4 linked regions of the Diceros bicornis minor genome follow. The protein of the gene in region 3 purifies or fractionates together with the protein of the main gene of each other region. This does not show direct contact. Links are inferred from orthologs where the notes say so. Each region holds a gene or a part of one and is shown on either strand. Other genes may lie near its edges.

Evidence for each region.
Region 1: the proteins of MED9 (region 3) and POLR2B purify together in Homo sapiens (affinity purification with mass spectrometry; 4 studies listed by BioGRID and IntAct, with this or other methods). This does not show direct contact. The link is inferred for Diceros bicornis minor from reciprocal best matches to the Homo sapiens genes MED9 and POLR2B.
Region 2: the proteins of MED9 (region 3) and MED16 purify together in Homo sapiens (affinity purification with mass spectrometry; 5 studies listed by BioGRID and IntAct, with this or other methods). This does not show direct contact. The link is inferred for Diceros bicornis minor from reciprocal best matches to the Homo sapiens genes MED9 and MED16.
Region 4: the proteins of MED9 (region 3) and MED18 purify together in Homo sapiens (affinity purification with mass spectrometry; 6 studies listed by BioGRID and IntAct, counting the BioPlex papers as one, with this or other methods). This does not show direct contact. The link is inferred for Diceros bicornis minor from reciprocal best matches to the Homo sapiens genes MED9 and MED18.

The regions. Positions count from the first base shown.
Region 1 is NC_080747.1:44,466,786-44,474,513, reverse strand, and holds the start of POLR2B (DNA-directed RNA polymerase II subunit RPB2), read right to left. Parts: upstream 3,130-7,728; 5' UTR 2,882-3,129; coding exon 2,863-2,881; intron 1-2,862. Other genes in the region: NOA1 (nitric oxide-associated protein 1), read left to right, coding at 3,659-4,781, 5,711-5,875, 7,114-7,316. UniProt on the Homo sapiens protein: Catalytic core component of RNA polymerase II (Pol II), a DNA-dependent RNA polymerase which synthesizes mRNA precursors and many functional non-coding RNAs using the four ribonucleoside triphosphates as substrates.
Region 2 is NW_026691553.1:469,848-477,859, reverse strand, and holds the start of MED16 (mediator of RNA polymerase II transcription subunit 16), read left to right. Parts: upstream 1-4,904; 5' UTR 4,905-5,002; intron 5,003-5,217; exon of another isoform or gene 5,218-5,236; intron 5,237-6,831; exon of another isoform or gene 6,832-6,878; 5' UTR 6,879-6,924; coding exon 6,925-7,057; intron 7,058-7,740; coding exon 7,741-7,848; intron 7,849-8,012. Other genes in the region: R3HDM4 (R3H domain-containing protein 4), read left to right, coding at 414-517. UniProt on the Homo sapiens protein: Component of the Mediator complex, a coactivator involved in the regulated transcription of nearly all RNA polymerase II-dependent genes.
Region 3 is NC_080757.1:945,689-953,536, forward strand, and holds the start of MED9 (mediator of RNA polymerase II transcription subunit 9), read left to right. Parts: upstream 1-4,620; 5' UTR 4,621-4,674; coding exon 4,675-4,901; intron 4,902-7,848.
Region 4 is NC_080752.1:43,723,211-43,731,111, forward strand, and holds the start of MED18 (mediator of RNA polymerase II transcription subunit 18), read left to right. Parts: upstream 1-4,546; 5' UTR 4,547-4,699; exon of another isoform or gene 4,700-4,712; intron 4,713-5,314; 5' UTR 5,315-5,384; coding exon 5,385-5,457; intron 5,458-7,901. UniProt on the Homo sapiens protein: Component of the Mediator complex, a coactivator involved in the regulated transcription of nearly all RNA polymerase II-dependent genes.

The sequences.
Region 1 (7,728 bases), on a different chromosome or scaffold from region 3:
GACCTGAGGAGGTTAGGAAAGACTTTCCAAAAGCTGAGCTGAGCAGAGACCTCATGTATGAATAAATCCAAATAAACGAGGCAAAGGAGGGGGTGAGGGTGGAGGGGTAGAAAAGGAGCATCTTCAACAGAAAAAACAACTTGTGCGAAAGACTCCACCATGAAAGATATTCAGGGAACGAAAGAAGGCCAATGTAGCTGAGACAAGGAGTGTAAAGTTAGAGTGGTAAAAGAGTTTGGTCTTTACCAACAGAGCTTTGAGTAACCATTCTAAGATTTTCGCAAGGGTGTGGCTAGATCAGATTTTCATTTCCGAAAGATCACTATGGCCAGTGTGGAGAGTGGACTGGAGAGGCAAGAAAAGTGGAAGTACACAAACCAGTTACAAGTCTGAGGAAGTAATCTAGGCAAGAGATGGTGGTGGCCTGAACTAGAATTGTGGCAGAGAAGTGACCAGATTTGACATATTTAGGAGACAGAAGCCTCAGGGCTTGGTGACTCATTAGACGTAGGGGCGAAAGAGAGGATTCAAGAATGATGCCCAGGCTTCTGGCTTCAACAATGGAAGAGGGTGATACCATTCACTGAGAGGGAGAACACAGGAGGAAGCAGCTTTGGAAGGGTGATGGGTAAAGGAAAATAGTGAGCTCAGTTTGGGCAGCGACAAGTTTGAGAGGCCTAGGAGAGATTCAAGCGAAGTTATCTAGTGGCAGTTAGATACGCAAGACATCTGAACTGGCAATATATATTCAGAAGTCATCCACATACAGATGGTAACTGAAGCCATGAAGAATGGATGAAATTATCCCAGGGATAACATGAACAGTAGAAGAGAATGAGAAGGAAAGTCAGACAGGTAAAAAGAATTAAGTGAGAGTGACGTGGCAGAAGGAAGGAGAGTTTCCAGGAGGAAGTCATCAACAATGTTGAATACCACAGGGTTTGTATAAGGTTTAAAAAATGTCCATGTGATTTATCAATTGAGAAATCACTAATATTCTTAAGAGCTGTTTTATATCACATGAGCAGAATCAGATTGTAATAGGTTGAGAACCTGAAAGATAGGAATTGGAAACAACGAAGACAGCCTATTCTTTTTTAAAAGCTTGGTTGTGAATGAAAGGAGAAAGGCAAAACAATGGAAGAAAAAGGAAACAATAGAGAGTTTAACCTGTTTTCTTGAGGACAAGAGAGATCTAACATTTTGCATAGAAAGAAGTCAGGTGAAAAGGAACGTCTGAAAACTGATGAGGACATATTTAATAAAGATATCAAAGGATACAGGCAGGAACGGAATGTACTCAATGCTGGAGCAGACTTGACAAATGGGATAACTTTAACTCTTTTTCCACAAGACTATTATATTGCTAAGGAAAATATAAATTAGTACAATCACTATGGTGGTCACTTGGCACCATCCAGCAAAATGTTAAACATGTATATCATGTGACCTGACAATTCTACAGCTACATGTAGAATTCTACATATTTATCCTAAAGACATACTTGTACTGGACAAAATGACATGCACAAGGTTATTCATTACAGCACTGTTTGAACCAGAAAAAGACTAGAAATAACCCAAATATCCATCAGTAAGACATTACTACGTCATAGTACATCCATACAAACTAGGCAGGCTGTGAAGAAAAAAAACTAGGATGTGCTCTATGAACTGATATTAAAATCTCCTAGATACATATATTAAAAAAGCAAAAAGTAAAAGTGCAGAAAAGTGTGAATGTTACTTTTTGTCTGTAAAAAGGGGGAAAATAGAATTCCATTTATATTTCTTTGAATATACATAAAGCACTCTGGAGAGATAAGAATCTAAGAACAGTGGTTACCTACAGTGAAGGGGGCTCACACTAGACAGACAGTGGACAAGAATGAAACCTTACACTTTAACATTTTTATACTTTCCAGCTTGTGAGCCATGAGAATATATACTATCTACACAAAAAACTCTGCTAAAAAAATTTTGAATTTTTTTCTGAGATAGAAGTTAAGAAAAGGGAATGTAATGATGCTAATAAATTTCTAGACTCAAGATATAAATGAAAAAGAGAAGTTTAAACTGTAGATCTTAAGCTTTTGCTTCTGTATTCTCCATGAAGAAGCTAAGGGAATAAGCAGCAATGTGAGGGGTGGCCACAGGATTGGGAACTAGAAGAAAATGAGGTTTGATACAGTAGCTGTAGAGAATGGAAGAGGGAGGTTTAAAAATACCTAACGAAAATACACTAGACATGACTAAGACTTCTATACCTGAAAGGAAAAACAGATATATTGGTCCTCTTCAGTTGAATACATACCATCTGAGAAAATCTAAAGGTCATCTTCTAAGACAATTCACTTAGACATACGACGGCATGAAGGAATGCCAAACTAGACCAACACTCTCTCGACACACACGATATTCTTTGTCCCCGGTATATTTCCAGAGCCCAGCACAATGCCTGGCACAAACTGACGCTCAAAAATTCAAATATTCAATAAATCCACTAACCCTAGCCTCATAAGAAATCAAGAAGGGAGCCCTTTGCTTCAGACAAAGCCAAAACAATGGTACTGTTTTATGGTTCTGCACGTTATCTCAATACGTGAAGGCGGTATCAGATCTATCCAGCTGACAGTGCAGAGAGCAAGCGTCACCCTGACCGGGAACAGTAATGCTACATTCCCTGCACCCTCCACCTCTCCCCATCGCGGCTTCACTCCCGGCCTGGGGGATGTGGGGAACACGACTTGGGGTCACTCGTGCGGCGGGCTGGGGGGGGAGGCCGCAAATCCTCAATTCGTCCAGCTCCCCACATTTCCCTCCACAGAAGGGTCGCCGCGGAGCGTTCTGAGTGGTCACCTACCCTCGTCCGCGTCATACATGTTGGCAAACGGTTCCCGAGCTGCTAACTCTTAAAAATCACAGAGAGAAAAGCACGTAGCTACCACTCCGTCTCGGAGCCCTAAACGAAGTGACTTCCGTCTCCGGCGTTCCCAGAATACTCCGCGTCCGAGGCCAAAGACCGCCCACAGAGAAGCTAGGTAACATCTGCGCCTGCGCAAATGGTAGGCTAAGGGCCGCTAAGGGTTACAATTGCGCACGCGCAAATTGTGGGCGGCGCCTCTTGCGGCTGATTGCGACGATGACTCCTACAGAGTGAGGGTGCGATCCAGCCAATGAAAGTTTTTTTTAATGTTGTTGCACAAATGACACCTAAAAAAAAGGCCAAGAAGATTTATTAATTTTAATTGTAGCCTTGAGTTTGCGGCATTCGATGCTCTATTTTTTGCATTTCTAAAGGCTTCAAAAACCACGAAGCCTTTAAAAATGCGATTTATTAAGGGCAGGTTGCGCCAGCGGCGGCGCGTTGAAGAAGCCTAAAAGGGAACAAACCCTCACTCACTAGCCTTTTTTGCCCCCTCAGCTAAGTCTAGGCCGTCGGTACCTTTGCCGCAGCTTTAAGTGGGTTCTGAAGCCTCAGAGCCTTCATCGCGATAACTCACGGGATTAGGCGCTGGAGGAGGAGACGAAGTGCGGCGGCTGACAAATGACAGCTCTCCGGTAGCCGCGGCCTTGCCTGTAGGTCTTAACGCGCGCCTCTGGCCCCAGTGCGCGTGCGCGCACGTGGCTCCGCCCCTTTGCTCTGGGCCGTGTTCCCCATGCTGCCCGCACGCCTCACTGGTAGGCTTCTGTGCGGCTTCCTGCGGGGATCCGCACCGAAGGTAGCGCGCCATGGCCTCCCGGAGCCGCTCCTCGAGAGGAGATGCGCGGCTCCCTTCTCCTGCCGGCACCCATCGGGCCTGGGACGTGGGCTTCCTCGTGACCCGACAGGGACTGGGGGTTACGAAGGAAGGGCTGACATGGAGGAGCGTTTTCTGTTCCCCGAGTACGTCCCGGAGCCGGAGCCCGCACCGACCCCCGAAAAGCAGCTGCAGGAGCTGCAGGAGCGGCAGGAGGAGGAAGAGCGACAGAAGCAGCAGCGGCGGGAGGAGCGGCGGCAGCAGAAACTACGGGCCAGCCGCCGGGGGCACCCGGTCGTGGGGCACCCGGACCCGACGGTGCCGCCCAGCGGCCTGAACTGCTCGGGCTGCGGGGCGGAGCTGCACTGCCAGGACCCCGGCGTGCCCGGCTACCTGCCCAGCGAGAAGTTCCTGAGCGCGGCGGCGCAGGCCGACGGCGGGCTGGCGCGGACCGTGTGCCAGCGCTGCTGGCTGCTGGTGCACCACCGGCGCGCCCTGCGCCTGCAGGTGAGCTGCGAGCAGTACCTGGCGCTGGTGAGCGCCGCGCTGCGGCGGCCCGGGCCCGCGCTGGTGCTCTACATGGTGGACGTGCTCGATCTGCCCGACGCCCTGCTGCCCGACCTGCCTGCGCTGGTGGGCCCCAAGCAGCTGATCGTTCTGGGGAACAAGGTAGACCTGCTGCCCCAGGACGCTCCCGGCTACCGGCAGCGGCTCCGGCAGCGGCTGTGGGACGACTGTGCCCGCGCAGGGCTCCTGCCGCTCCCTGGCCACCGAGGGCCACAAGACGAGGAGAATTCGAACCCTTCGGCCAGGTGCCGCACGGTGCTCAGGGATGTGCGGCTCATCAGCGCCAAGACTGGCTATGGAATTGAAGAGTTGATCTCCGCGCTTCAGCGCTCCTGGCGCTACCGTGGTGACGTCTACCTGGTTGGCGCCACCAACGCTGGCAAGTCTACTCTCTTCAACACGCTCCTGGAGTCCGATTACTGCATCGCCAAGGGCGCTGAGGCTATCGACAGAGCCACCATCTCCCCTTGGCCTGGTGAGCCTTAGGAGACCCACCCCCTTCGTTGTCTGAGAAGCTAGAAGTCTGGTCGTGGCCCAGGCACCTAGTATAGCCTTCCTTATTGTCCACCAGAGGCTGTCTGGAGCCTTCCCTTTAAAAACTGTCTTCCTACTTTGGTCACACCTCTCTTCTGTGTCAGCTTAGTGCTTGGAAATTCAGTAATTTTCTAAAAGAAGTATTTATGGAGCACTTGTATGTTCCAGTCACTGTTCTAGGCACTGTAGATGAACAGAGGAACAAAGTTCCTGCTCTCTTGGAGGTTTCTCTTGTAGCTTTACTTCTTTGTATGTTTCTCTGGAAAGTCCTTTTACTTTCTAAACCTCCCTCACCCCTCAATCTTACTCTTCATGTCTTGAGTTGATTCATGAGATCAGTATACTATGCACGTTTAACATTTGAATAATTCACTAATGCAATGTGATGTGTAGCTTTGTTGGAAAGAAATGTCAACTTTGTGGCTTTATGAAACTTCTGTGATTGCAAAATGGGTTCTTCTGTGACCCTCTTTGTATTTAACAGTTGGCAAAACTGCCTCATTAGTTCTTTTGAAACCAGGGTTTAACTTTGATAAGCTGTTCTTCTCTGTCCTGGACTTTGGTTGAATTATACACAGAAGTGCTTTTATACTGGATGGTAGGATGTGAAAATGGAAAGAAATCAGGCCTGCAGATTTAAATCCTGGGATTTAATCTAAGGATTCAAATCCTGGTTGAGACTTTGAGCCAATCTCTGAGCCAATTTTCTCATCTGTAAATAAGAATAATTTTGTAGAGTGTTATGAAGGTTAAGTGAAATAAATCACAGTCCCCAAGACATTGTAGCTCCTCAAAGATGTTAGTTTTCCTCCTCTTATTCCTTTTTCTTGTACAGTGTTTAGAAAACATATTTATTCTTTGGTATTTCAGGTACTACATTAAACCTTCTGAAGTTTCCTATTTGCAATCCAACTCCTTACAGAATGTTTAAAAGGCAAAAAAGGCTTAAAAAAGATGCAGCTGAAGCTGAAGAAGATCTTAGTCAGCAAGAACAAAATCAACTTAATCTCTTGAAAAAGCATGGCTATGTAGTAGGTAAGCATGTTCTATAGGAAAACTCTTGTTGAGTTGTTGCTAAAATTCTTTGTTGAGCAACCTGAAATATAGCTGTCTGGGGCTAGCCAGTTTTTGTGGGGAGTGACTGCTTTCCTCATTCTGGAACATAGAGGCCCTTTAGAGGCAAGACTACTGTTTGGGAATCCAGAGTTCATTGTGCTGAGAAAATTGAGACAGTAGATCTTGAAGAAATCCAGGAAAGGAAACATGCAATAACCACCCACCCAGCCATTGTCAGCAGTAGAAGAAAAAAGATACAGCCCCCCTCTCTGCAGACCAGTGCAGGTCGTTGACTCCGTGCAGCAGCTTTAAATTACAGTCATGCGTCACTTAACCACAGAGAGATGTTCTGGGAAATGTGTCATCAGGCCATTTTGTCATTGTCCGAACATCACAGAGTGTACTTACACAAACCTAGATGATATAGTCTACTACACACCTACACTATATAGTGCTAATCTTGTGAGACCACCGTCATGTATGTGGTGCATCGTTGAGCAAGAAGACATTATGCCGACGTTATGCAGCACATGACTGTAGATTGTCACCCATTCCAGGAGCAGGTAAAGAGCTGGAAGAACCCCTTTCTAAATTCTGGTCTTCAGTTTCGTTATTTCCCCCAAATACTCAGCAAAAAATGAGAAAAAGTTATGAGTCCTCTGGCTTCTAGAGATGAAGAGTTCCTAAATAGACTAGAGAAGATAGAAAAGGAAGCCAAGAAGTACAAAATTCTAGTAAGATTTAAGGATTTGAAATCTGATTAAAAAAGATAAAGACTAGAGAAGTTAAAAAAATGGATAAAAAACGTTTGTGAACTTGCTTAAGAAAAATGAAAAGGAAATGATAAATATGTGATACTTAGGCTCACAAGAAAATACAAAAAAAGGGGGCATCGTTGAGCAAGATGACATTATGCAGCACATGACTGTAGATTGTCACCCATTCCTTGGTATCTCTTTTCAACCTTCCTTTACTGAAAACAGTTTGATTTCCAACACCCTCTCCCCCCACCCAGTGTACACAACCAGCCACTCACTTGATCATTGCAAGATTCTGGCCCCCTGCCTTTGGGGAAAAAAGCAAAGGTATCATTGTAGTCTCACTTCCATACACTACAGTTAGTCTTAGTAATTTGTTTGAGGCAAACATAAGAATTACCTGTCTGGAATCAAAAGCTTTAAAAGAATGACTAATAACTTCAATCTAACTTGTTCTAGGAAGAGTTGGAAGAACATTCTTGTATTCAGAAGAACGGAAGGATGAAGCTCCCTTTGAGTTTGATGCTGATTCACTTGCCTTTGACATGGGAAATGAACCTGTTGTGGCAGATAAATCCACCAAACGAGTACAGTTGACCCCAGAAGATGTGAAAGATGCCCACTGGTTTCATGACACCCCTGGAATTACAAAAGAAAATTGTGTATGTATTTGATATCTTAAGAAACACTTACTTTCAACTGCACAAGTACTGTCTTAATTGGCAGAACACAGGAAAGGAACACATTTTAGACTCAGTTCTCATTCATTCATAGAAGCAGTTCAGGGATGAATCTATATGGCATCAAGTTCTGTGTTCCATTTGGTAGGCTTCACTGCTAACAACCCATTTATATCATTGTGGTTGTTATCTTAGTTAGGGAGACATTTACAGAATCCTAGATTTTGAGGTTGGAAGAAATCATAAATATCACTGTAGTCCAGCCACCTATTCCATACTTGAATTCCCTCTATAACGTATCCATCAAGAAGGCATCCAGCTTGAACTGAGTAAGGAGTGACTCACCATCAGCTGAGCAGAGTCACCTTACCTCCTAAGGTAACCCATTTGGTCT
Region 2 (8,012 bases), on a different chromosome or scaffold from region 3:
CAGAGAGGGGCCTGGGGGATGAGGCTGGGCCCCCAGGGACCCTGAGATGAGATGAGGGGACCCCAGTGTCTGCAGCGTTCTCATTTAGCCGTTGTCTCCTCCACTGTGCCACACGTGTGACTTCCACCAAGTGCCCCCTGCCGGGGCCTGTGTCCCCGCTTTTACAGCCCCCCAGGGAGGGTCCTCGCAGGCCCCTGCTGGCCCTGGGCGCCCCATCGGGTCCTCGCTCCCCACGCCTGTCTCTCCGCCTCCTGCCCGGAGTTGCTAAGGAGACGGTTTCCATGGCAACCTCTGGATGCCTCCTGCGGCCCCCACGCCCGCCTTTGTTCCCACAGACTCGGGCGGAGGGGCCGGGCCGGGGGTGCTTCTCTGCAAAGGTGGGGACTCACTCGCCCCGCTGGCGCCTCGCGCAGGTGCTGACCTGGAGGGCAGGCGGCAGATGAAGGTCAGCAATCGGCACCTGGACTTCCTGCCGCCCGGGCTGCTCCTCTCCGCCTACCTGGAGCAGCGCAGCTGATGGCGGCCCGCCGGGCCCCGCCCACCGCCTCCCCGGCACCGGACCTTCCGTGCCACCCGCCAGAATATCTTCATTATTTTTAGAATTCGTCTTTGGAAACGTCATCTTCCCCTTGGGGTGGCTCTCTCTCACCCCAGCCCCCTCCCTGCCCAGCCCTTCCAGATAAATTCTGGTGGCTGGGGCTGCTCTGGCCTTTCCAGGCCCCATAGCTCCTCGCTCTGGGACTTGTATTTGGGCGGGGAGACCGGGCCTGGTCACTTCCATGTTCCTTCTTCGTTCAGCTTTCTCCGTCCAGTCTGAGGCTTAAGCGAGGAGGGAGAGGCTGGCTTTTTATCACTTTTAATGAATTTGGTGTGATTTGTTGTAGATTTTTAAATTTCCCTTTTGGGAAGAAAAACCAAACTCGCCCCAACTGATAAATCGGGGGGCTTTGTTCCAGTCCCTGCTTGACACCCCCCTCCCAGTTTTTGGCTTGGATGGGGGGGGTCTCTGGGGCCTCGTCCCCCGCCCTGGGAGTGTTACGTCTTGTGTGTGCGTGCGCGTGCCCCACGACCCAGGACGGAAGCTGCGTTTTAAAGGCTGGTTTTACTCTCTTTTTGGAATGTGTGTTGTCCCCCGCTGGTGTCTTTTGGTGGCTCTTGGGGCCCTGTCTGCTGTATACCCTGCCCTTCCCCATTTTTCTCCCGTCTTTTCCTACTGGGAGTCCGGGACTTCCAGCCAGAAGCCTCCGCCCTTGGACTACCCGGTTCCCTTTCCATGTTCCCCAGCCTGTTGCTTTGGGGTGTCCTCCGGCGGGCCACCTGGCCTGGCCCGGCCCCCGAGAGCAGGGCTGCCCCCCCCCCGCCCCCGGTGTGTGGCTAGCTGTGCTTTGGGAAGAGTGGAGAGTCAATAAATTTCTGGTGCTCTTGTCTCAGCTGTGGGGTTCCCTTTGGTGCGGGGCTGGGGGCGCAGGAGGCTCGGGATCGCTGGGGTCCTGGTCATTGAGGCTGTAGGCTCGGGGATGGGGCTTGGCACTGAGTGACGCCCCAGGGGTGAGGCGGGTGTCCGGGGAGACTGCCGGGAGCATCGGGGGCTCGCTCTGCCCCGCTGGCTCGTCCCCCTCCCGGGAGCCCAGGTTCAGACCCAGCTCCGCCACTTCCCGGCTGTGTGACCTCCAAAAAGTCACTCGTGTGAGCTTCCTGGGGACAGAGTACCCCACACTGAGGCTTAAAACCACAGGAATACACTGTCTCCAGTTCTGGAGCCCAGACATCTGAGGTCACGGTGTCGCAGGGCCGTGCTCCCTCCGGAGGCTCCCTCCCGCCTCTCCCAGCCTCTGAGGCTCAGGCGTCCTGGGCTTGTGGCCGCGTCCCTCCATCTCTGCCTCCGTCGTCACGTGGACTCTCCCTGCGTGTGTCTGGGACTGGCCGGTGTCCTGCAGGACGTCCCCAGCCTGGGTTTTCTCATGATCGGACAAAGGGACGTGCCCTGTCATCGCGCCACATCGGGGTCCCTGCTGTCCTCGCGGCTTCTCCCTGCTGACGGGGACCCTGACCTCCTGGTGGAGGGGCGCTACTCGGGCCCTGCACTGGGGGGTCCCTGCCCCTCCACACTGTCCTCGGGAAGCGGTCTTCATGAGGGCAGAGCCTCTGCCTGATTTACTGGGAATTCCACAGGGGAGGACTGTCTCTTCTCCACGTGTGTTTATTCAACCACATACACGACGAGGCTCGAGGGGGTATTTACTTTCTGGTCTGGGTTATAATCCAACATCACTTTATTTCGTTGCTCAGACTGTTGCGGGTTTGGCGGCCGAGAGCTCCTTCAGCAGCTCCTTGTCTCTCGGAGGCCCCCATCCCGGTGGGGTTTTTAGTTTGTGAGTCCGGCCTGACTTTCTGGGCTTCAGGGTGCGCGGCTCCTCCCACCCGGGCCCGGATTCGAAGCCAGCGTGGGGCGCTGGGGGCGCTGTCTTCCGTGTGAACGGACATTTACAAAGTTTTAAAGATAGATGCTGGAGGAGGGAAACCCAAATGGCTGGGAGGAGGACAAAAGGAGATACTGGGTCACCAGCTGGGAGGCCCCGTCTGTGAAGGGCACGAATTCCCAGTTCCCAGGGGACAGGGCTGGGCCGCAGGGCGGGCATGCGGGGCCTCTGGGGGCGCCCACTGGCTGCCCTTCCAGTCTCGCGGTTGCCACTGTGGGGCGGTGGGCTTCCTTCCACCCATTTTCCCCAGCTCCGTTCCCAAGAACCAGGCCTTTGCCCAGGCAGTGCCTTCTGCCCAGTGTGCCCTTCCCTGCAATCCCAGGAGGGCTTCCTGGAGAAGACCTTCCAATTGGGGAGAGTCGGGCAGGAATAGAAGCAGCTTTTGGAGGAGGAACTGGGGATGGGGTTTGAATCCAGAAGGGCCCTCGACTGGGCAAGTCACCATGTTTATCAGAGCCTCAGTTTCCCCAGCTATGAAAAACAGAAATGTAAAGCATGGGACAAGAGACCCCGAAGAGCCAAAGGAATCCTGAGAAAAAAGAACTTATGTGCACATGTTAATCTTTGACAAAGGAGCCAAGAACATACGATGGAGAAAGGAAAGTCTCTTCAACAAATGGTGTTGGGAAAACTGGACAGCCACATGCAAAAGAATGAAAATAGATCATCATCTTACACCATACACAAATTAACTCAATATAGATTAAAGAGTTGAATGTAAGACATGAAAACAAAACTCCTAGAAGAAAATATAGGCAGTACACTCTCTGACATTGGTCTTAGCAGCATCATTTCGAATTCCATGTCTCCTCAGGCAAGGGAAACAAAAGAAAAAATAAACAAATGGGACTTCATCTGACCAAAGAGCTCCTGCAAAGCAAAGGAAACAATGAACAAAACGAAAAGATGATCTAACAATTGGGAAAAGATATTTGCAAACCATATATCCCACAAGGGGTTAATCTCTGTAATATATAAAGAACTCACACAACTCAACAACAAAAACACAAACAACCCAATTTAAAAATGGGCAGAGGATATGAACAGACATTTTTCATAGAGATGACTAACAGACACATGAAAAGATGTTCAACATCATTAACTATCAGGGAAATGCAAATAAAAACTACACTGAGATACCACCTCACGCCTGTCAGAATGGCTATAATTAACAAGACAGGAAACAACAAGTGTTGGAGAGGATGTGGAGAGAAGGGAACCCTCACGAACTGCTGGTGAGAGTGCAAACTGGTGCAGCCACTATGGAAAACAGTATGGAGATGCCTCAAAAAGTTAAGAATAGAGATACCATACGATCCAGCTATTCCACTGCTGGGTATTTATCCAAAGAACATGAAAAAACAAATACATAAAGATACATGCACCCCTATGTTCATCACAGCGTTATTCACAATAGACAAGACTTGGAAGCAACCTAAGTGCCCATCAAGGGAAGAATAGATAAAGAAGATGTGGTATATACACACCATGGAATATCACTCAGTGATAAAAAAGATGAAGTCATGCCATTTGCAACAACGTGGATGGACCTTGAGGGTATTATGTTAAGCGAAATAAGCCAGACAGAGAAAGACAAACACCGCCTGGTTTCACTCATATGTGGAAGATAAACAAACACATAAATTTGGAGGAGATTGGTGGTTACCAGAGAGGCAGGGTGTGGGAGGAGGGTAACACGGGTAAAGGGGCACAGGTGCACAGTGACGGATGATAACTAGTCTTTGGGTGGTGAACACTGTGTCTTCTACACAGAAATCGAAATATAACGATGTATACCTGAAATTTATACAATGTTGTAAACCAATGTGACCTCAATAGAAGGAAAAAAAAAAAAGAAATGTAAAGCAAATGCGAATGGGACCAGCTTTTGGAGGAGTCCGGGATGGGGTTTGCAGCCAGAAGGGCCCTCGATTGGGTAAGTCACTTGGCTTATCAAGCCTCAGTTTCCCCACCCGTAGATATCAGAAAAAGTTTCTCTACCTGCGGATACCAGAAAAACAAGGCGCAAAATATGGAACGCTTCACGAATTTGCGTGTCATCCTTGCGCAGGGGCCATGCTAATCTTCTCTGTATCGTTCCAATTTTAGTATATGTGCTGCCGAAGCGAGCACGAACCTCAGTTTACCCAGAGAGATATTTATAGTGCAAACTATCAATAACTTTACACTAAGGGTGAATTTCATTGAGCAAGTTCAGTAACTCACTTATTTTTTAGGTATCAGCGCAACACATAGCGTAGCCAAATGGGGTCACGCACCGGAGTTGAGAAAGTGTTCTTTGTTCTACCAAATACAATTCAGGTGGCTGCTGGGAATTATTAATAAGCATATGCAAATAACCCGGAAGCCGGCAGAGCAGGAGCCGCCGCCGTCCCAGAAGCCTCCGGGAAGCGGCCGCGCTGCGCGGACGTCTTGTTGGTCGCGGGGAGGATGGCGGCGCCGGAGCCGGCGCGTTAGGGCGAGTGCGGGCCGTCTGCTCGGCTGGGCGCTCGGCTGGCCCGGTGAGCGCGGGGCTGCGGAGCCCGGGGGTCAGACGGCTTCCGGACGGCGCCCGCGGCCCCGGAGAGCACGGCCCGGAGAAGGCGGGGCTTCGCGGGTCCGGGGCGGGGCCTGTGGGGTCAGAGGGCGGGTCTGGAGAGCAAAGGGTGCTGGGTACGCGGGCTGGCGCGCGCTGGGCGGGCTCGGGGGTTGTGGCCGAGACTTGAGGGGAAGCATGAGTCCAAGTGGGGGTCGCGGTGAGTTCGGGGAGCTGGGGTTATGAAGGGGGGGCCTAGGCTATTTGGGGGCGGGGCCTAGAGGTTGTAACTCCGGGGGGCGGGGCCTAGCAGTTGTAACTCCTGGGGGCGGGGCCTAGCGGTTGTAACTCCTGGGGGCGGGGCCTGGGCGACTTGGGGCGGGGACTAGAGGGTGTAGCTCCTGAGGGGCGGAAGCTAGAGGCTCTAACTCCCGGGGGCGGGGTCTGGGCTATTTGGGGGCGGGGCCTAGCGGGTGTAACCCCCGGGGGGCGGGGCCTAGCGGTTGTAACTCCTGGGGGCGGAGCCTAGAGGTTATAACTCCTGGGGGCGGGGCCTGGAGGTTGTAGCTCCTGAGGGGCGGAGTCTATAGGTTGTAACTCCCCAGGGGCGGGGCCTGGAGGTTGTAGCTCCCGAGGGCGGAGCCTATAGGTTGTAACTCCGGGGGGCGGGGCCTGGAGGTTGTAGCTCCCTGGGGCCGGAGCCTAGAGGTTGTAACTCCTGGGGGCAGAACCTGGAGGTTGTAGCTCCCGAGAGATTGTGTCTCTTGGGAGTGGGGCCTGGAGAGTGTATCTCCTGAGGGGCGGTGCCTGGGTCGCGTTGGGGGTGGGCATGGGCGTTTGGGGGCGGGGCTTGGGGATCATGTAGGGTTCCTGGGGTGGGATCTGAGGTCTCCAGGGGGCAAGTAGAGTCAGGACCTGGAGAACTTGGTGGGGCAGTCTGGAAAGCAAAAAGTGTTGGGCGGGGCTGGAGGGCTTGGGGGTGGGACCTGGGGGTTGTTTGGGGTCCCTGGGTTGGAGCCCGAGAGTTTAGGCCGGGCTTGGGGGCTCCGGGGGGCAAATTGGGAAAGCAAAGAATGTAGGGGATGGGGATTGAGGGCTTGTGGGCAGGACATTGGTGTTCTGGGGCGAGGCTGGAAGAATAGGGTGCCCTAGGGGTGGTGGTTGAAAGAAATGGGGTAGGTGGTTGTTCCATCTCATTGGGTTTCTGTTGTGGTGAAAGGAAACAACCTATAATTGGGCTGGGCATGTGGAGAGCCACCCGGCCACCCCCAGTAAGCTGCCCACTCCCCACCTGTCTCTCCATCTCAGCCAGAGACAGCACCACCGTGCTCTTGCATGTTTCTGGTAGAGACGGGGGGTCCCACCTCTCCCTGCAGTATCCACTGGCCCCGTCGTTGCCCGCCTGGACTAGTGCAGTCCCCACTGCATCCCCTAGCTGCGCACTCCAGACAGCCAGAAGGGTCTGTTGCAACATAGATGGGTCACGGCCTTCCCAAGGCTCCCACCTCACTCGGGGCACTGCACGGCCTGCCCCATCCCCTCACTCACTCTGCTCCAGCCACTCCGGCCAGCCAGCCACTCTCTGAACACACAGGGCTCCATCCAGCCTCTGGGCCTTTGCACTGGCTGTTCCCACCACCTGGAATGCTCTTTCCTCAGACATCTGCCTGCCTCGCTCCCTCATACCCACGCTCAGTATACTCTCCCTGGTGAGGCCTCCCTGTCACGGCCCCCATACATACACACACACAGACACTCACTAGACACACTCCCTGTGGTCACCTGGCGTCCTGTCCCACACTCGGTGCCCTGCAGGTTCTCCGTGAACGTGGATGACGAGCCAGCCCTCCTCCTTCCCCCAGGAGCTGGTGACTGTTCTCGCCGTGGGAGCCGTGGCAGGCGGGCACCATGGATCTGGCTTACGTCTGCGAGTGGGAAAAATGGCCCAAGAGCACCCACTGCCCGTCGGTGCCCCTGGCCTGTGCCTGGTCCTGCCGAAACCTCATCGCCTTCACCACGGATCTCCGGAATGACGACCAGGGTACGCCCCCGGCCCCCCGACACAGTGTCGTAGCCTGGCCCCCACAGTGCTGCTGTGGGGTCCTCAGGGTCCCCAGGCCTGCCAGGGAGCACCCTCACCGTCCAGGCCCTCCGCTCCTGGGGATGTGACGGCCCCAGCCCCGCAGGGTGCACAGGGCAGCTGTGGTGCGCTCCCACGCCCGGTGCCCGGGGATGCTGGGATCACCCTTCGGGATGGAGTGGGGTGAGGGGCGGGATCCCCAGTCTTCTGGACCAAACATGTCATCGTTCGTCTTTAATGTAGCGTCTAACGTGCATGGCAGTTGCTGTCTTCTCTCCGTCGTCAGAGAAAACCAGAAAAGCACAGAAATTCAGGATAAAGAGAAACAACCAGCCGTTACCTTCCACGGAGAGACGCTCACTGTTAACATTTTGGGGTCATTTTCTTGCAATTCTCTTTTCTGTGTCTCTCTTAAAAACGTGGTCATAGCCGCACTGGTGGCATGGTCACAGGCCCGCTCCGGTCTCCAGGTGGGACATGAGCCTGGTCCTCCATTGCCCCGGGGCATTGGCATGGTTGGCGGCGGCTCTGTGACTTCCTTGCGGGTGGGCCGTCCACTGGCTTCCTCCTTGAGCCGCCTGGTGGTCGGGCGCTTGGGGGCTGTGTCGTTGCTGCTGTGCTGATGGTGCCCTGTTCCCCCACAGACCTGACCCGCATGATCCACATCCTGGACACGGAGCACCCCTGGGACGTGCACTCCGTCAGCTCGGAGCACAGTGAGGCCATCACCTGCCTCGAGTGGGACCAGTCAGGTGAGGGTGGGCCTGGGGTCTGCGCGGCCCGGGGAGACGCCCGTGTGCCCCTCGACCCCGGCTCCCGGAGCAGCATGCTCTGTCTTTCCCCAGGCATGTCCCCAGTGCCCAGAGCTGGGACTCGAACCCTCGACCTGTGGCAAAGCCACTGCTCCTCCCATTCC
Region 3 (7,848 bases):
CCTATCCTCTTCAGCATGCCAGTTGCATAATAATTTTTTTTGTGTGTGAGGAAGATCAGCTCTGAGCTAACATCCATGCTAATCCTCCTCTTTTTGCTGAGGAAGACCGGCTCTGAGCTAACATCTACTGCCAAGCCTCCTCCTTTTTTCCCCCAAAGCCCCAGTAGATAGCTGTATGCCATAGTTGTACATCCTTCTAGTTGCTGTATGTGGGACGTGGCCTCAGCATGGCCGGAGAAGCGGTGTGTCGGTGCGCGCCCGGGATCCCAACCCAGGCTGCCAGTAGCGGAGCACACACACTTAACCACTAAGCCACGGGGCCGGCCCAATAATTTTTAACTGCAATTTTGCAACTGGAGTTAGTAGTCAAGAGTCGAAAGACTTTCAATAAATCCAATAAAGAAAACAAGGCAACTTCTAGAGAAAGGGAGGACTGAAGAGTGAGAAAAAGCCAAAAGGCCATCATGAGAAAGAGGTTATTTTTTTAAAAAGGATTAACAGAAGGAGATAAGGATGAGGCTTTGGGGGAACAGCTGGTAGAAAGGAAAAAAAAACTTGGCTAACAAATAATTTGAGTGAAAATGACTGAGTAAAGAGATTGGAACAAATATGATATCACAACAAAAATGAACCATTTTAGTAAAAAACTAGTTCCTGGAATGGATTGCCTCTCATTTGTATCATATCAAAAGCGGGTGGAGGTCTGGCGAAACATAGTAAGCAGGAATAAGGACTAAAGGAGAGGACTTAAGGAGAAAATTCTGAGTCTGAAAGAAATGTGGTTGAATTTGTGTGCTGAAATACCCCATCAAGAGTGCTTCTGGAAATGAAACCACTGAAACAAGCGGGTTGAGAAATGGGCATAATGGAGTATCTTGGAGTAACGACAGAACAGTTGAAAGGAACAAAAAGAAATAAATTTAGTTGAGCTCAGAGAGAGAAGAAAAGCAATCTCAAGGCAGATCTGAAGCAAAGGCTTTGTTCTGAGGCGTAAGCATGCGTCTCGCTGGAGGGAGCTGACTCTTGGCACGTGCTGCGCTACGTTTGGCCTGAATAATGATTGCTCCCTATTTTTTTTTAACTCACAAAAATCAAAGTATCATGTAGCTTTTCCACCCTGCCCGAGGCTCCAGATGATCAAAGAAAAGGATGAATCATGTGTAAGGACATAGCTTTGACAAAGCCCCCGATGGTTCGATGACATGACCAGTTTAACAATCCCCGTGACACTTGTCTGACAGAGAGATGGCTATTTTTGCACCTATCTCCAAAATAGGAGCTATTTAAGCTCCTAAAGCTAAAGCTTAAATAGTGCTTACTCTCAAAGCTTTTTACAGACATGAATTCCTGGAACCCTTACAGCAGCCCTATCAGGAAAGGGCTGTTATGATTCCATTTTGCAGATGAGGAAACTGAGGCACAGGAAGGTTAAATGACTTGTCCAAGGTCACACAGCCAGAAACTAGCAGAACCTGGATTCTAATGTATCAAACTCCCACGTACCCACTTCTATATTTGGCAATTGTCCATATTTTTCCTTTTTGCTTTAAGTCCTCTCACAATATATAAAAGAAATATAACATTACACAGAGAGTTGCAGTGCTGGTTATATTCCCATCCCCTGTCCCAGGAATGTGTAGTAAACCTTTCAGTTCCTTTTAAAAACTTTTTTTATATATGTCTTATATCTATGGATGAGGTATAGTGTTATTTTTCATGCTTCAAATATTTACATAAGTAGTAACATACTCTATTTCTCTTGTGCAACTTGCTTTTTTCCTCTCACCATTTTGATTGTGAGTTTTGTCTACAGTGATATGTATTCATCTCTCAAACTGCACCATCCAGTTCTGTAGTCTCCAGCCACATGTGATGACTGAGCACTTGAAACGTGGCTATTCAAATTGAGATGTGCTGTAAATGTAAAGTACATACCAGATTTCAAAGACAGTATGAAAAACAGTAAAATACCTCTCTAATAATTTTTAATATTGATTACATGTTGAAATAATTTTGGGATATAATGGGTTAAGTAAAACATACTAAAATTAATTTCACTTGTTTTTTTTAATGTGGCTACTAGAAAATTGAAAATGACATATGTGGCTTGCATTTATGGATCATATTATATTTTATTGGAGAGCTCTGATTCTAGATCATTCCTGTTAACTGCCATCAGTCCGGGTTTTATTAATTGGTGAAGGAGCAAACCCTAAATCTGAATAACAAGAACTAATATTTACTGTGCACAGATACTTTTCTCCATGATTTGTATGCAATAATGCATTCGGTCCTCCTGGGAGGTTGCATGGCTATGCAAAGTGGGGTTGTGCAGTTGTCCAAAGTCACACAACTTCAAACAGACTGAGCTGGGACTCAAGTCAGGCAGGCAGGCTCCTTGGCCAGAACTTGTAACCACCAACTTGCCTGGAAAGGCTCTATGAGAAACAGCCTAACTCTGCCTAAGAAAGCAATAACCAGATAGCTTAACTTGGTGGCATCTCTAACAATATACCGTCCTTACATATCAGTGGACCCTTTTTGACTTTTAACAAAGCGGTTATGAACAGACACACATTTGTTGTGGCAATTTTAGCTTTAATGAAACCAACACAGGCCAGATATTATTTTTCTGACATCCGCTTGCAATGCTGTAGAGTCAGCTTTACGCTTTGCCACTAATTAGATTAACTATTTTTATGGCAAATTGTCAATGCACTCTACTTGTTCATGCTTCCTACGATTCCAATTTGTTTTTTTTAGCCATATCTATTTATACCTGGAGTGTTTTTTCTTTTTTTAAAAAGAGACGTCTTCATTATCCTGCTGATGATAAAGCTGGGGTTTGTAATTAAGTTACAAAACACACTGGGAGGGAAAAGAGGACGTGTCATTGCCATGGAGATATTATTGATGAATATCGGATTGCTTTTTGAATTCTGAATAAAAATCTAACTTTTACCATTTTGAATCATAAAGTTACAGAACTGGTTGGAACCTGAGGTCTCCTATGTGTTCGTTAGGACCAGAGGCTTGGTGTCAAGCAAGCCATGTGACCCAGAGCCAGTATCTTAACTGCTGTAAGCTTCAGTTTCCTCATCTATAAAAGAGAGATACTAACATCTACTTTTAGCCCTCTTTTGTAGATTAAATGAGATAAAGACTGTGACTCTATTCCTTGTCCCTATTTTTATTCCACCGTAGTTGTGGTAATCACTATTATTATTATTACTATTATACCATCATTTTTTTCCCCAGATGACTCCAAGGGTGTACTCTTTTCAAGCACATCTGTCCTATCCCAACAGGCCTTTCTCCTCCATTATCTAGCAGGACTCTTAAACATTTCCCTTAGGTGGAGAGGTCCATGGTGGGCAGGAAGAAAACCCTGCAGCCTTCTCCCTCCCCTTGCTCTCCTTCTGGAGTGCTCTGGGCAGCTCTTGCTGAAGAACGCTGCACTGAGGCCCATGACTAAAGGGCGTCTACAGCACACTCTCCAACATCTACTTCCCTCTATGGTCTTGCTCCCCTAGCACCTGCCTCCATAAACCCCTCCTGATGCATCCGAAAATACTAGCATTGATGCTTTCCTTGGGATAGGCCACGTTGCTCTTAAGTGCTACTGCTCATCTTGCTACCTGAATGTGTACTTCCTCGCCTCTGTTAAAGGCCCAGGATGGTAGACTAAGGAAGGATGGGGCTCTCCTAGCTCACATCTTCTTCCACTCATTAGCTAAGCTTAGGATCAGTGTCCCCACTGCTCAGAAATTTATTATACAGCCCCCATATCATACTTGTTTTGAGGAACATAACGACAAATCTACCAAAAGTAACCCGCTTTGGCCTAGGATCCTAGGGGGTCCTCATGTGAACTAGACCTTTGGAGGTCAGCCATGTATCTGAAGTTAGAAAGCAGATTAGGCTCTGCCATGACCCTGAACTAAAGATTATAGAGGCGAGGCGGCTGGGACCTAGGGGCTTAAGGAAGTCGCCCACAGGTATGGAGAGCAGCTCCAGGAGATGTATATTAAATACTGAATTACTAGTTCCTCCCTACCCAGCCCCGCGGAGCTTTGGGGGACGCCGTTTCTGGTGTCTGCGTCCTCAGGGCTGGCACGCGCTGTGGCACTACCGCCCGGCCAGGGTCTGCCGCCTCTCCCCCTGGAGGCTCCCGCGTGGTGCAGGCGCTGCAGGTCCTTCTCCGCATTCTCGACGCCCGCAGGGCCGGCGCCTTACACATAGCAGGCGCCCGGTGACGGCGGTCCACTCCGCGCGCGGTTCAAGTTGGTTCTTCGGGCGGCCTTCTCCCAGGGCTGGGCCGTGCTGGGCCTTATTCATCGCACGCTTCCTGTATTAGTTGCTTTTGGACCCTCGTCGTCACGTGAAAAGGAATAAGATGTTATTTCTGTAATAAATCTCCTGACTATTTAATAATTTAGCTCTCTCGACGCAACCAAACCCAGGACACCGCAGACTCGCCGACCTCCTGTTACCTAGTAACAGCCGCCCCGCCCCGTGCCTTTGCCCCGCGTACGCCCTGGTGCGCATGCTCACAGCCTTTCTCCGGTTCCCGTCCCCGCGGGCGCGCGGTAGTGACGTAGGGGCAGCGCGACGCTTTCGGCGGGCTCACCGCTCGGGTCTCGCTGGCTGTCTGAGTGACCGGTCCTGAGCGCCATGGCCTCCGCCGGGGTGGCCGCCGGGCGACAGGCTGAGGATGCGTTACCGCCGTCGGCCGAGCCGCCGCTGCCCGAGACGAAGTCGCTGCTGCCTCCGCAGGCACCGCCGCCGGTCGCCGCGCCTCAGCCGCAGCGGTCTCCGGCGCCGAGGCCTCAGTCCCCGGCGGGCGTGAAGGAGGAGGAGAACTTCTCCTTTCTGCCGTTGGTTCACAACATCATCAAATGGTAAGGGCTGGAGAGGACCAGCTCCACACGCCCTCCCGCTTCTCGTGCGGGCGCTCGCGGGTGCGCCCCCGTTTTATAGATGGGGAAACTGAGGCCGGGGGGCGAGGCCTCTCCCAGGACCGCACCGGCTCGGCCCGTGAGTCCGGCAAACGCTCTGAGCCCTGGCGTTGCCGGACCTCGCGACGGACGGCCTGGCGGTGTTCTCGGAGCCACAGCGCTGCCGTGCCGCCCGAGTGTGCGTCCTGCTGGTCACGAGCGGCTCGGGCGTCTGAGCCTCGGCTTCTCCGTGACGGGGGGGCGCCCGCTGGCTCCCCTTCTCGCAGAGCCGACGGTGCCTCGTGTGCCCCGCCCGACGCACTGCTGAGTGCTGGGGGCCTGCGGAGGAGGAGGGGCCGGCTGACCAGCCCTTCTCACGCGTCTCCTCGGCTGGAGGGAGAGGCAGACGCGAGCGGGAATGACCCGTAGTTCAGAAACGCCGGAGGGGGGAGGGTGGGAAACGTCGCAGACAGCGAGACACAGACGTCGCTCCACCAAATCGACCCCTGTAGTACTAACTGTGTTCTCACATAGTCTCAAAGGGGGGATTGTCATCCTTTTGACCAGCCTTCAGGTTAGTCTCAGTTTGCAAACTGACCCTGTGAAAGAAAAAAAAAAAAGAACACAGTGAAGAGTCTTGCTGATCCCCATGTTAGCCTGAATTGTTTTTACTGTTTTTTATATCCGCACGATACGAGGTGTAAACTCCTAGGCTCGTAACTCTTATTCAGCTGTTAAAAACCAAAACAAAGTAAATGAAAACGAAGATTACTGTTACGGCAACATTCAGGTGAACGTCACTGTGCTCTTGGGTGTTTTGCTAAGATGGAATTTCTGCTCACGACAGGGAAGTGGCGTTCATGGCCCAGCCTTTAAGTGTAGCCGGACTACTTCACTTGATGTGGGCTGACCCGATTCTTCCCCCACTTTTCAGACAACACAAAGCCTTTGTTCTGGCGTTAGACCCTGACTTCATGTGGCTTCACTCGGGGTGAGCATCCTGTTTATAGGGTCAGGCAGACTCCGGTCTGCTCTCATTAGCCTGTGCTCAGCAGGCAGCAGTTTGCAGCGGCAGTGAGATTGCAGACACAGTTGCGGACGCCGACCCTGCAGCCCCAGCGCAGTACTGGACTGGAAAGGGGCTGTCCAGATTAATGCAAATACTCTTACACCGGTTTTAAGAAAAATATGGAAGAATGAAAGCACAAAATGTACACATTCTCAAGGACGGTTCTTGGAGCCTGCAGAGTATGTTCTCGAGCCCCAGTAGAGCAGTTGAGCTGGGCTGGCCTTAAAGAAGGGGCAGCAAGGTACCCCTGAGAGAGCATGGCTTTGCAGTCAGTCTTGCATTCAAGGCTCATGCTGACGCTTGCTTGCCTTGTAGTCTGGGAGAACATGTAACCCTTCTAGGCCTTATTTTCTTATCTCTAATATGTGAATAATAATAACAGACCTCAAAACGATGGGTTCAGACTAGAGCCGTATAACGTACTGGCTGGGTGACCTTGGACAAACTACTTAGCTTCTCTGAGCCTCTTTTTCTCTTGTGAAATGGAACTAATAATACTTAAATGGTAAGGTTGTTGTGAGGTCTACTCAAGAGCATCCTCCTGTGAGAGATGGTGGGTTGATTTCATGTTTGTCTCAGTTTCCTCTAAAAGGACAGTGAAGAGGTTTTTTTTTTAAAGCATAGACCCAAAAAGAACAGGAGAGGAGATAATTGCCACAAAGCAGATGGCCAAGGGCTAACCCACCTATCAGCCCCTGGTTGGCAGAAGCACCTGCCTTTGACCGTGGCTTCCCCCCACGTCTCAGGAATTGGCGTTGCCAGGGACCTCTGGAAATAGGGGTGACGGGGGACTAAGAACAGGAGGATTACTTAAAAGTCTCCTTAAGCAGCAGATCCCCACAGTCCTCTCTCCTCACTTGAAGCAGACAGGTGACTGCTCTTCTTCCATCTTGGCAGGCAATTAAAGGGTTGCTCTTTCCCGAGATTTATTCTTTGGAAAGAATAAGCCAAAGATTATCTGGACTCGGGGGACACCAGGCACAGTGCAGGAGTTCAAGGGAGCCATGTTGGAAATAGGGAGTAAGAGAAAGTTCACACACTGGATATTGAGACCCCACTCTAGCCTTCTTCCCCTACCTGGCTTCTAGACTGGCAGCCAAAGAGAATAGATGTACCTTCTCTGGGGTGTCTGACCAGCCCAAGAGAAAAGTCATTGGGGGCTCCCCAAGAAAGACCACAGTCAGTTCATATGACCCGGTAGCCAGGGTCACTAAGCATGTGAAGAAAACCCCTAGTAAGAAAGACAGGACAAAACAAGAGCAGAAAAAGCCACTGGGAAGAAACAGTATGCATAGAGAGAAGGAGAGATGCTATCACCATGAAAAAAGGCTAGGATCCGATTTTAAAATATCATGTCTAGGTATGTGTTTGAGTTTATGGGCTAATGAGGGAAGGAGACAGACTGATGAGGGCAGTGATGAGAGAGGAGACCTCGTGAAACCTGGAGGAGTCAGAAGACTCCTTAAGGGGTGATGCCAACCACGAGTCTTAAATTATGAAAGGAGAGAGGGATGGTGGGGAGCCAAGAAATAGCATCAACTCATGGGGGTCGACTCTCAGTTTGGTGGGGTTGGAGCATAAATCCAAGGAAGGGAGAACTGGAAGGGTGGGAAGAACCAGCATAGGGAGGACAGCACATCCCTCTCAGGGAGTGAGGTTTTGTCCTCTGAGGGATGGGGAGCTAGGGAAACTTTCAAACTGGGGAGCCTTGGTCAGATTTGTGCTCGAGATGGATGTGGCATCTCAGCGGACAGGCTGGGAAGCCAGGTAGGACGCTGTCCTGGCAGGCCTGGCGAGAGGGAATGAGGGCTAGGACCGGCTCAGTAACCCAGGCCCTCCGTC
Region 4 (7,901 bases), on a different chromosome or scaffold from region 3:
CAGATCATGTAGGCATAAAGAGAACTTTGGCTTTTACTCTTGAGTGGAGGAATGTCATGAACTGATGAGGATGCTGGAGATAACTAGGTTGAAAAGCCATGGTTATACCTTTTCCATAGTGCTATGCACATAGGAAGCAGCCAATATATGTCAGCTCATTCCTGGGGAAATAGTAGTTTGTAACACTAAGGTTGAGAGCCTAGCATTGCATATAACAGGGGGGAAGATCTATCTTAATTCCCATCAGGTCATTCTAGAAAGCTGAGGAAGGAACTGTGTATGAGTATGTGTGCTTCGCTATCCATGTCTATGGTCTGCTGTCCTGATGAAAACGGGCCAAGAACTGGTCTTACTCCTTTGAGCCTAGTCTAGTGATTGGCTGGGAAGCATTAACGTGTGAAATTTTCTCCTCCTTTGCTACTATTAATTGTAATAACTGGCGAAACTCACCATGGAGAAAGAGTCCACGAATTCAGAAGGAAGCACGGTGAAGAGACAGGCGTGGTGTCAGAAGGCACTGAATTTGAATCTGAGTTCTGCCATTTGCTGGGCGCTTGGCTTTGGGCAAGTCACTTTACCTCTCTGAACCTCTTTTTCCTCCTCTGTAAAGTGGAGCTGGTAACAGCTACCTTTTAGCAGTATTTGGCATATTTACACACAGGTAGTTAAAGTTGTTGGTGTGTAGCAACTGTTCAATAATTGGTAGCTATTGTGATGTGTTCAACAAAATTTCTGAACACCTACTACATGTAAAGCACATTGTTACGGACCAAATGTCGGTGTACCCCCCCAAAATTCATATGTTGAAACCCTACTCCCCAATGTGATAATATTAGGAGGTGCGGCCTTTGGGAGGTGATTAGAATTAGATGAGGTCCTGAGGGAAGTGCCCTCATGAATGGATTAGCGCTTTTTTTTTCTTTTTGGTGAGGAAGATTAGCCCTGAGCTAACCTCTGTTGCCCATCCTCCTCTTTTTGCTGAGAAAGGTTGGCCCAGAGCTAACACCTGTGCCCATTTTCCTCCATTTTATATGTGGGAGGCCTGCCACAGCATGGCTTGGTAGTGCTACAGCAGTGCATAGGTCCACGCCCGGGATCCAAACCCTAGGTCAAACCCTAGGCCACTGAAGCAGAGCATGCAAACTTAACCACTATGCCACGGGGCTGGCCCCAGATTAGTGCTCTTATAAGAGTTCTGAGAGAGTTTGCTTTGCTCTGTTCTTCACCACGTGAGGATACAAGAAGTTGGCAATCTGCAACTTAGAAGAGGGATCTCACCAGAACCCGACCATACCAGCACCCTAATTGCAGACTTCTACCCTCCACAACTGTGAAAAATAAATTTCTGTTGTTTATAAGCCACCCAGTTTATGCATTTTGTTATAGCAGCTCGAGCTGACTAAGACACATATATATAAGGGCTGGCCTGGTGGCATAGTGGTTAAGCTCACACACTTCACTTCAGCAGCCCAGGGTTAGCAGGTTCAGATCCTGGGCATGCACCGATGCACTGCTTGTCAAGCCATGCTGTGGTGGCATCCCATATAAAGTAGAGGAAGAGGGACACAGATGTTAGCCCAGGGCCCATCTTCCTCACCCAAAAAAGAGGAGGATTGGCACTGGATGTTAGCTCAGGGCTAATCTTCCTCACACACACATACAATAAAAAAAAAAAAAATAGAAAAAAGACACATATATACAAAGAAAATACATGATTCCTCCCTACAAGATGTTTACAATCTATCCAAGGAGATGAAACATGCACAAAATATATTCAATAAGACAGAATGTGCTTGCTCAAATGAGTGATTTAAAATATAATAATAGCTACCATTTATTGATTGCTTACAATAAGCAAGGGACTATGCTAAGTGTTTCATAAGCATCTCATTTTATTTTTGCAATCTCTGTTTTAGAAAGTACTATTTTTACCTCTATTTTACAAAAAAGGAAGCTGAGGCTCAGAGAGGGGAAGTGAATTGCCCAAGGTTGCACAGCTGGGTAGCGCAGAGGACAAAAGTGACCCCATTCTAAGCTCTAGGCCTCACATTCTTATCAGAGAAACCCATCCATATAACTCCTAGGCCTTGTCCAAGTTTTACCATATTGTTCATTCGTTTCCTGTCCATCTTTTTTTTCTTTTTTTAATTTAACCCTACTTCAAAATGCCAGCTAAAATTTGGGTAAATACTATGGTGCCTCAAAGGACCCATAATTCACTGGACTTACCATGCTGAAGTTAGTGTCTGTACAGGAAAAGAGAAGCCCAGCAATTTGCCAACCTCCTCCAATCATTACAGCACCGAGAGCTTGTCACTCTGCTCAAAACTGTGAATCATCAGGTTGATCAGGAGGCACATCCCAAGCCCTGGGGTATATGCAGCTCTAATAACTGTTGGAGTCCTGTGCAAAGCCCAATTCTTGGCCGTCTTCTCTTCCTATTCTACACGCTCTTTCAGGGTGATCTTATTTATTCTCATGCCTTCAGCCACCATCTATGAGGCTCTGATTCTGAAATCTCTCCCCCCAGCCTAGCTCTCCCTCCCCTGAACTCTGGCGGGGCACTGCCACTTTCGTGTTTCATAAACACCTAATGCTCAATATATCTAGTACACATGAACTCATCTTTCCTGCCTCACCCACACTGCTTTATATTTCCTAGCTCAGAAAAACACAGTACCATGTCCACCTAAGGTAAAAATCTAGACATTTGTGATTCCCTCTCTCTGTCTTTACCTCTGGTTAGTCATCAAATCATTCTCTTTTATATTTTTCAAATCTGTCTTTTCTCCCGAAATGATCTCCCAGCTGGAGTTATGCCAAAGCTCCTAACTGGTCTTCTTTCTCCAGGACCTCCTTCTCCAAGCTTTTCTCCACATTGTAGCCAGAGCTTTTTTTAAAGCACACATCTGTTCTTTAGTCTGGCATGCAAAGTTCTCCAGGATCTGGGTCTTATCCTTTCTCCAGACTCATTTCTTACCCCTCCTAACCTCAGATTCTATATCCTAATTCTACTAAACTCAATGTCCTTTTGTACATGTTGTTTCCGTTACCTGGAATTTCCTTTCCTCCCTTCTTTATCTGGCTAACACCTACTGATCCTTCAAGTTACTTTGGGCATTAATTACTTTTTCCAGGATTCCTTCTCTGTCGCCCTCAGGATGGATCAAGTGTCCTGTTTGCTTCCAGAGCAGTTGAGCTGTTTATATCTCATTATCCTATTGAATCAAATCACATGGTGCCATCTCCTTAGTTTACTGATTCCTACAACTTGCCTATAAACTCTTCTGAGGGCAGAAATTGAATCAAGTCAACAGCTAACAGAATGTCTACAGCACAAACACTTTCAAGAAATGTTCGATTAAAAAAAAAAAGAATGACTGGGGGGGCTGGCCATTGGCATAGCGGCTACGTGCACACGCTCCACTTGGGCGGTCCAAGGGTTCACAAGTTCAGATCCCCCGCACACACATATGCACCACTTGTCAAGCCATGCTGTGGCAGTGTCCCATATAAAGTACAGGAAGATGGGCACAGATGTTAGCCCAGGGCCAATCTTCCTCTGCAACAAGAGGAGGACTGGCATCAGATGTTAGCTCAGGGCTGATCTGCCTCATCAAAAAAAAAAAAAAAAAGAATGATTGGGAGGTAGTGTAGGTTACAGCAGGGGAACTAGAGGTACAAGAGGCAGTATAGTAACTGAGGGTGGGCTCTGAAGTCAGCAGCTTAGATTGCCAGCCTCTCCACTCGCATGTTATTTAACAGCCCATTTCCTCAATTTCCCTGTCTGTAAAATTACAGTAATAATTGTATTTGGCTCATAGGCCTGCTGTGGGAATCAAATTTAAAAAGTTAATATTTTGTTCATTAAGGATTTTTTGCACTAAATTTGTAAAATATTGCATTAAAATATTATCTTGGTTACTGAGTTTTTTCGTGTCGCCATAAATTTTTCGCTTCAGCAGAGTGCCTCATTCACCTTACTCCAGTCCCCATTTAGCACCTTATATGCTTGACACATAAACAGAATTTTACAAATATTTGTTGAATTTACTTCTCTTCCTACATTTTTTAATTGAAGTAAAATATACACAGTAAAGTGAACAAATATTAAGTGTATTACCGAGCTCCCTAGATGTTCAGAACATTATGCTAGGCAGTCAAGGGTCTTTCCTTTTCAACTTCAGGGACCCAACAAAAAGAAGTCTTTTATAACAGTCTCGCCTTCTCTTTTTCCTGCAGCTCCCTTCCCCAGGCTCTCTTTTCCCCTGGTCAGTTCCAAGACTTTTCCTAGGCAAAACCATCTCCAGGTCGTCGAGCTTGAAAAAAATAAAATGTTTTCCTGGAGTACGGCCTATGACGTCAAGCCCCAGCCCAGTAACTCCCAGAGGAACGCTCCAAAGTAAGCCGCCATCTTCCACACAGCTGCGTCGCTTCTTGCGCATGCGCTTCTGCTTGCCAGGTACCAAAGAGGGCGATTTTATGCCCTCTCGGCACCCTTACGTTGCGGGGCGGGTGTGTAGACGTTTGCGCCACGTCTGGTTCTTGGCGGAAGTGGGAAGAGGAGAAAGCCGAGTGGTTTTATTATCCAAGGGTCTTGAGCCTTAGGACTGGGTGCTAATTGTCGCTGAATAGCTCCGAGGTGCTCGGGTGGATATAATTCTCCGCTTTGCGAGAAGAGACTAGAGCGCGCGCGTAGGTGTGTTTCTGATGTAAGTGGGCACGTGTCCTCAATCCTGGCTTAGGAAGACTTAAAACATCATCTTAAAAGAACAACTCGCTTCCGCCTCGCTCGCTTTAAAAGGCGTTTTCAGAAAGGCGGAACGCCTAGATTTTAGTGTGGTCCAAGCTCTGCCACCGACTTGCTATGTGTCCTTGGGCCCCTCTCCGAGTCTCAATATCCTCATCTATAAATTGAAGGGTAGACAAGGTCCCTTAAGTCACCTTTCAGTTCTTCTGAATGTAATTGTATGTCCATTATGTCATCTGAGGCACAAAGCCTTGGGGGTTAAATATCCTTGACCCCATCTTATCGGGAAGACATTGAGTGAGAGATTTGATGACTTCCTCAAGATTGCACTTTTTTCAAAAAAACCTAGAAGTTTCACACTTTGAGACTAGAAGGTTATGCTGTAACTCCATGACCAGTTCTCCTTTGTATATTTCTGTATCATCAGTTCCCGAAACTGGCCATATAGCAGTTACATAGAAAGTTTTGAATGGACAAATAAGTCTTTTGATGTCGGGGCTAATGACATGAGCAGATCTGATGTCTCTCCACTGTGATATATTAACAAGTGTAACTCTTCTTCAGGTGTATCCTGTGCTTTATTTGACTTGGGACTCTGAATTCATTTTTGTCGTCTTCAACTTAATCAGACACCATGGAGGCACCTCCAGTCACTATGATGCCTGTCACTGGGGGCACCATTAACATGATGGAGTACCTGTTGCAGGGTAAGTGAATCAGGGGGCTTGGATTACCTGTTTTCCTCTTTTCTATTCAGCTTCCGTGGAGCTGAGAGGCTGCTATACAAAGGCAGCCTGCGTGGTTTCTGGCACCCATTAGACAACAAATTACCCATTAAACACTAATTCTCCCAACCCCTTCCCCCAGCCCTTGGGCAACCACCTTTCTACTTTCTGTTTCTGATTTTCAATATTTTAGATACTTCATATGAGTGGAATCATGCAGTATTTATCTTTTTATGACTGGCTTATATCACTTAGCTTAATGTCCTTGAGGTTCATCCATATTGTAGCATGTAACAGGATCCTCTTTTTAAAGGCTGAATAATATTCTGTTGTATGTATATAGCACATTTTCTTTATCCATTCCTCTGTCAGTGGACATCAGGGTGGTTTCCATCTCTTGGTTATTGGGAATAGTGCTACAGTGAACATGGTGTGCAAATATCTCTTCAAGATCCTGCTTTGAATTCTTTTGGATGTATACCCAGAAGTGAGTTTCCTGGATTATATGGTAATTCTATGATACTATTATTAGCTCCAAGTTATAGATCAGGAAACAGAGGTAAAGTAACTTGCCCCATTGAGGAAACGCAAAACCCAGAGAGGGTAATGATTTTCAAAAGGTTATATAATGTTTAGTGGAAGAGTTTAGACTTTAATTCACATTATTCATTCAGTAACTTAATACGAACAAAATAAGGTTATTAATTTCCACCCCTCAAGCTGCCCCTCCTCATCTTTGCCATCTCACTATGAAATGAAATGAAATGAAAGTGCCTCTGTCATTCACCAGTCGCTTGAGCCGAGCATTCAGGAGTCAATCTCCATTTTTTACTTTACTCCCTCATCCAGTCCATCTCTAAGTACCATTCATTTTACTTCCAAAATATATTTTAAATATCTTTTCTCCACCTGTTGTACCACAGGCTGGCCCCTAGTCATCTTTTTTAAAAATTGTTTTATTACTAAAAAATTTAAACATAAAATCAAGACTAGTATACTGAACACTCCATATCCATCATCTGGATTTACCAGTTTCTATCATTTTGCCATATTTGCTTCATCTTTTTTCTTATGCTGTTTTTAAAGAAAATTTTAGACCTCATTAACATTTTATCCCTAAACACTTCAGTATACATCTCTAAAAAGAAGGATATTTTGGGGCCGGCCTGGTGGCGCAGCTGTTAAGTGTGCGCACTTCACTTCAGCAGCCTGGGGTTCGCAGGTTCGGTCCCACGCATGCACCGACGCACCGCTCGTCAAGCTGTGCTGTGGCGGTGTCCCATATAAAGTAGAGGAAGATGGGCACGGATGTTAGCCCAGGGCCAATCTTCCTCAGCAAAAGAAAAAGGGGAGGATTGGCATCGGATGTTAGCTCAGGGCTGATCTTCCTCACAGAAAAAAAAAAAAAACAAGGATATTTTCCTTCATAACCCCAATACTGTCATTATTATCTAAAAAAAATTAATAATATATTTTTACTATCTAGTCCATATTCAGAAGTTTCTTCCCAATTGTCCCAAAAATATGTTTTGTAACCAGGATCCAATCAAGTTTCATACATTACATTTGTTAGTTGTCTCTCTTTTTTTTTCTTTTCCTGAAGTCTCTTTTAAATTGGACCAGTCTCCCCTCGCCTCTTTTTTTCCTCCCCCATAACCGTATCTTGTTGAAGAGTCCCTACCAATTTTCCTGGAATGATCTTTTTAAAATGTAAATGCAGTCATGTCTTTCCCTGTTGTGTGGAGAATGAAGTGTGGAGCTAGTAGCTGCCCAATGACCTTAGAATAAAATATAACCTTTACCATAGACTATATAAGGCCTGCATGCTTTGGCCCATGCCAAATCCTCATTTCATTACCATCTTCTATCTTGCTCACTACCTTTCAGCGACATTGATATCCTTTCATTTCCTTGAGTTCCTTAAGCCTTTTCCTGCCTCCGTGCCTTTGCACTTGATGATCTGTCTCCCTCAATACTTTTTTCCAGCCCTTCAAATAACTATCTCATTTTCATCCTTCAGGTCTCAGCTTAGTTGTCATTCCCTTCAAGAGACCTTCTCTGACTACTCCAACCCCTCAAAGAGGTCTCCTCTTCTCCACCCCCCACCAATTGCTCTCTAATCAGTCTCCCTTTTATTTTCTTATATTCTGTTTACTTATTTATTGTTGTTTCCTCCACTAAACTATAATCTCAATGAGGACAGGGCCCCCTACTTCCTAGCATAGTGCCTGGCACAGCATGCAATAAGCGTATGTTGAATGAAGCAACACTTACAAAGCTCCTCAAATGTTTGAGGAGTGAACAAACACGTCTGACACTGTCCTGAACGTAGGATACAGTGGTGACCTGTTCCCTGCTCCCCTGATCTTCTGTCCTATGATTACTAGGACCTGATCTGTTGCTTTTCCTACAGCACTACCCCTTTC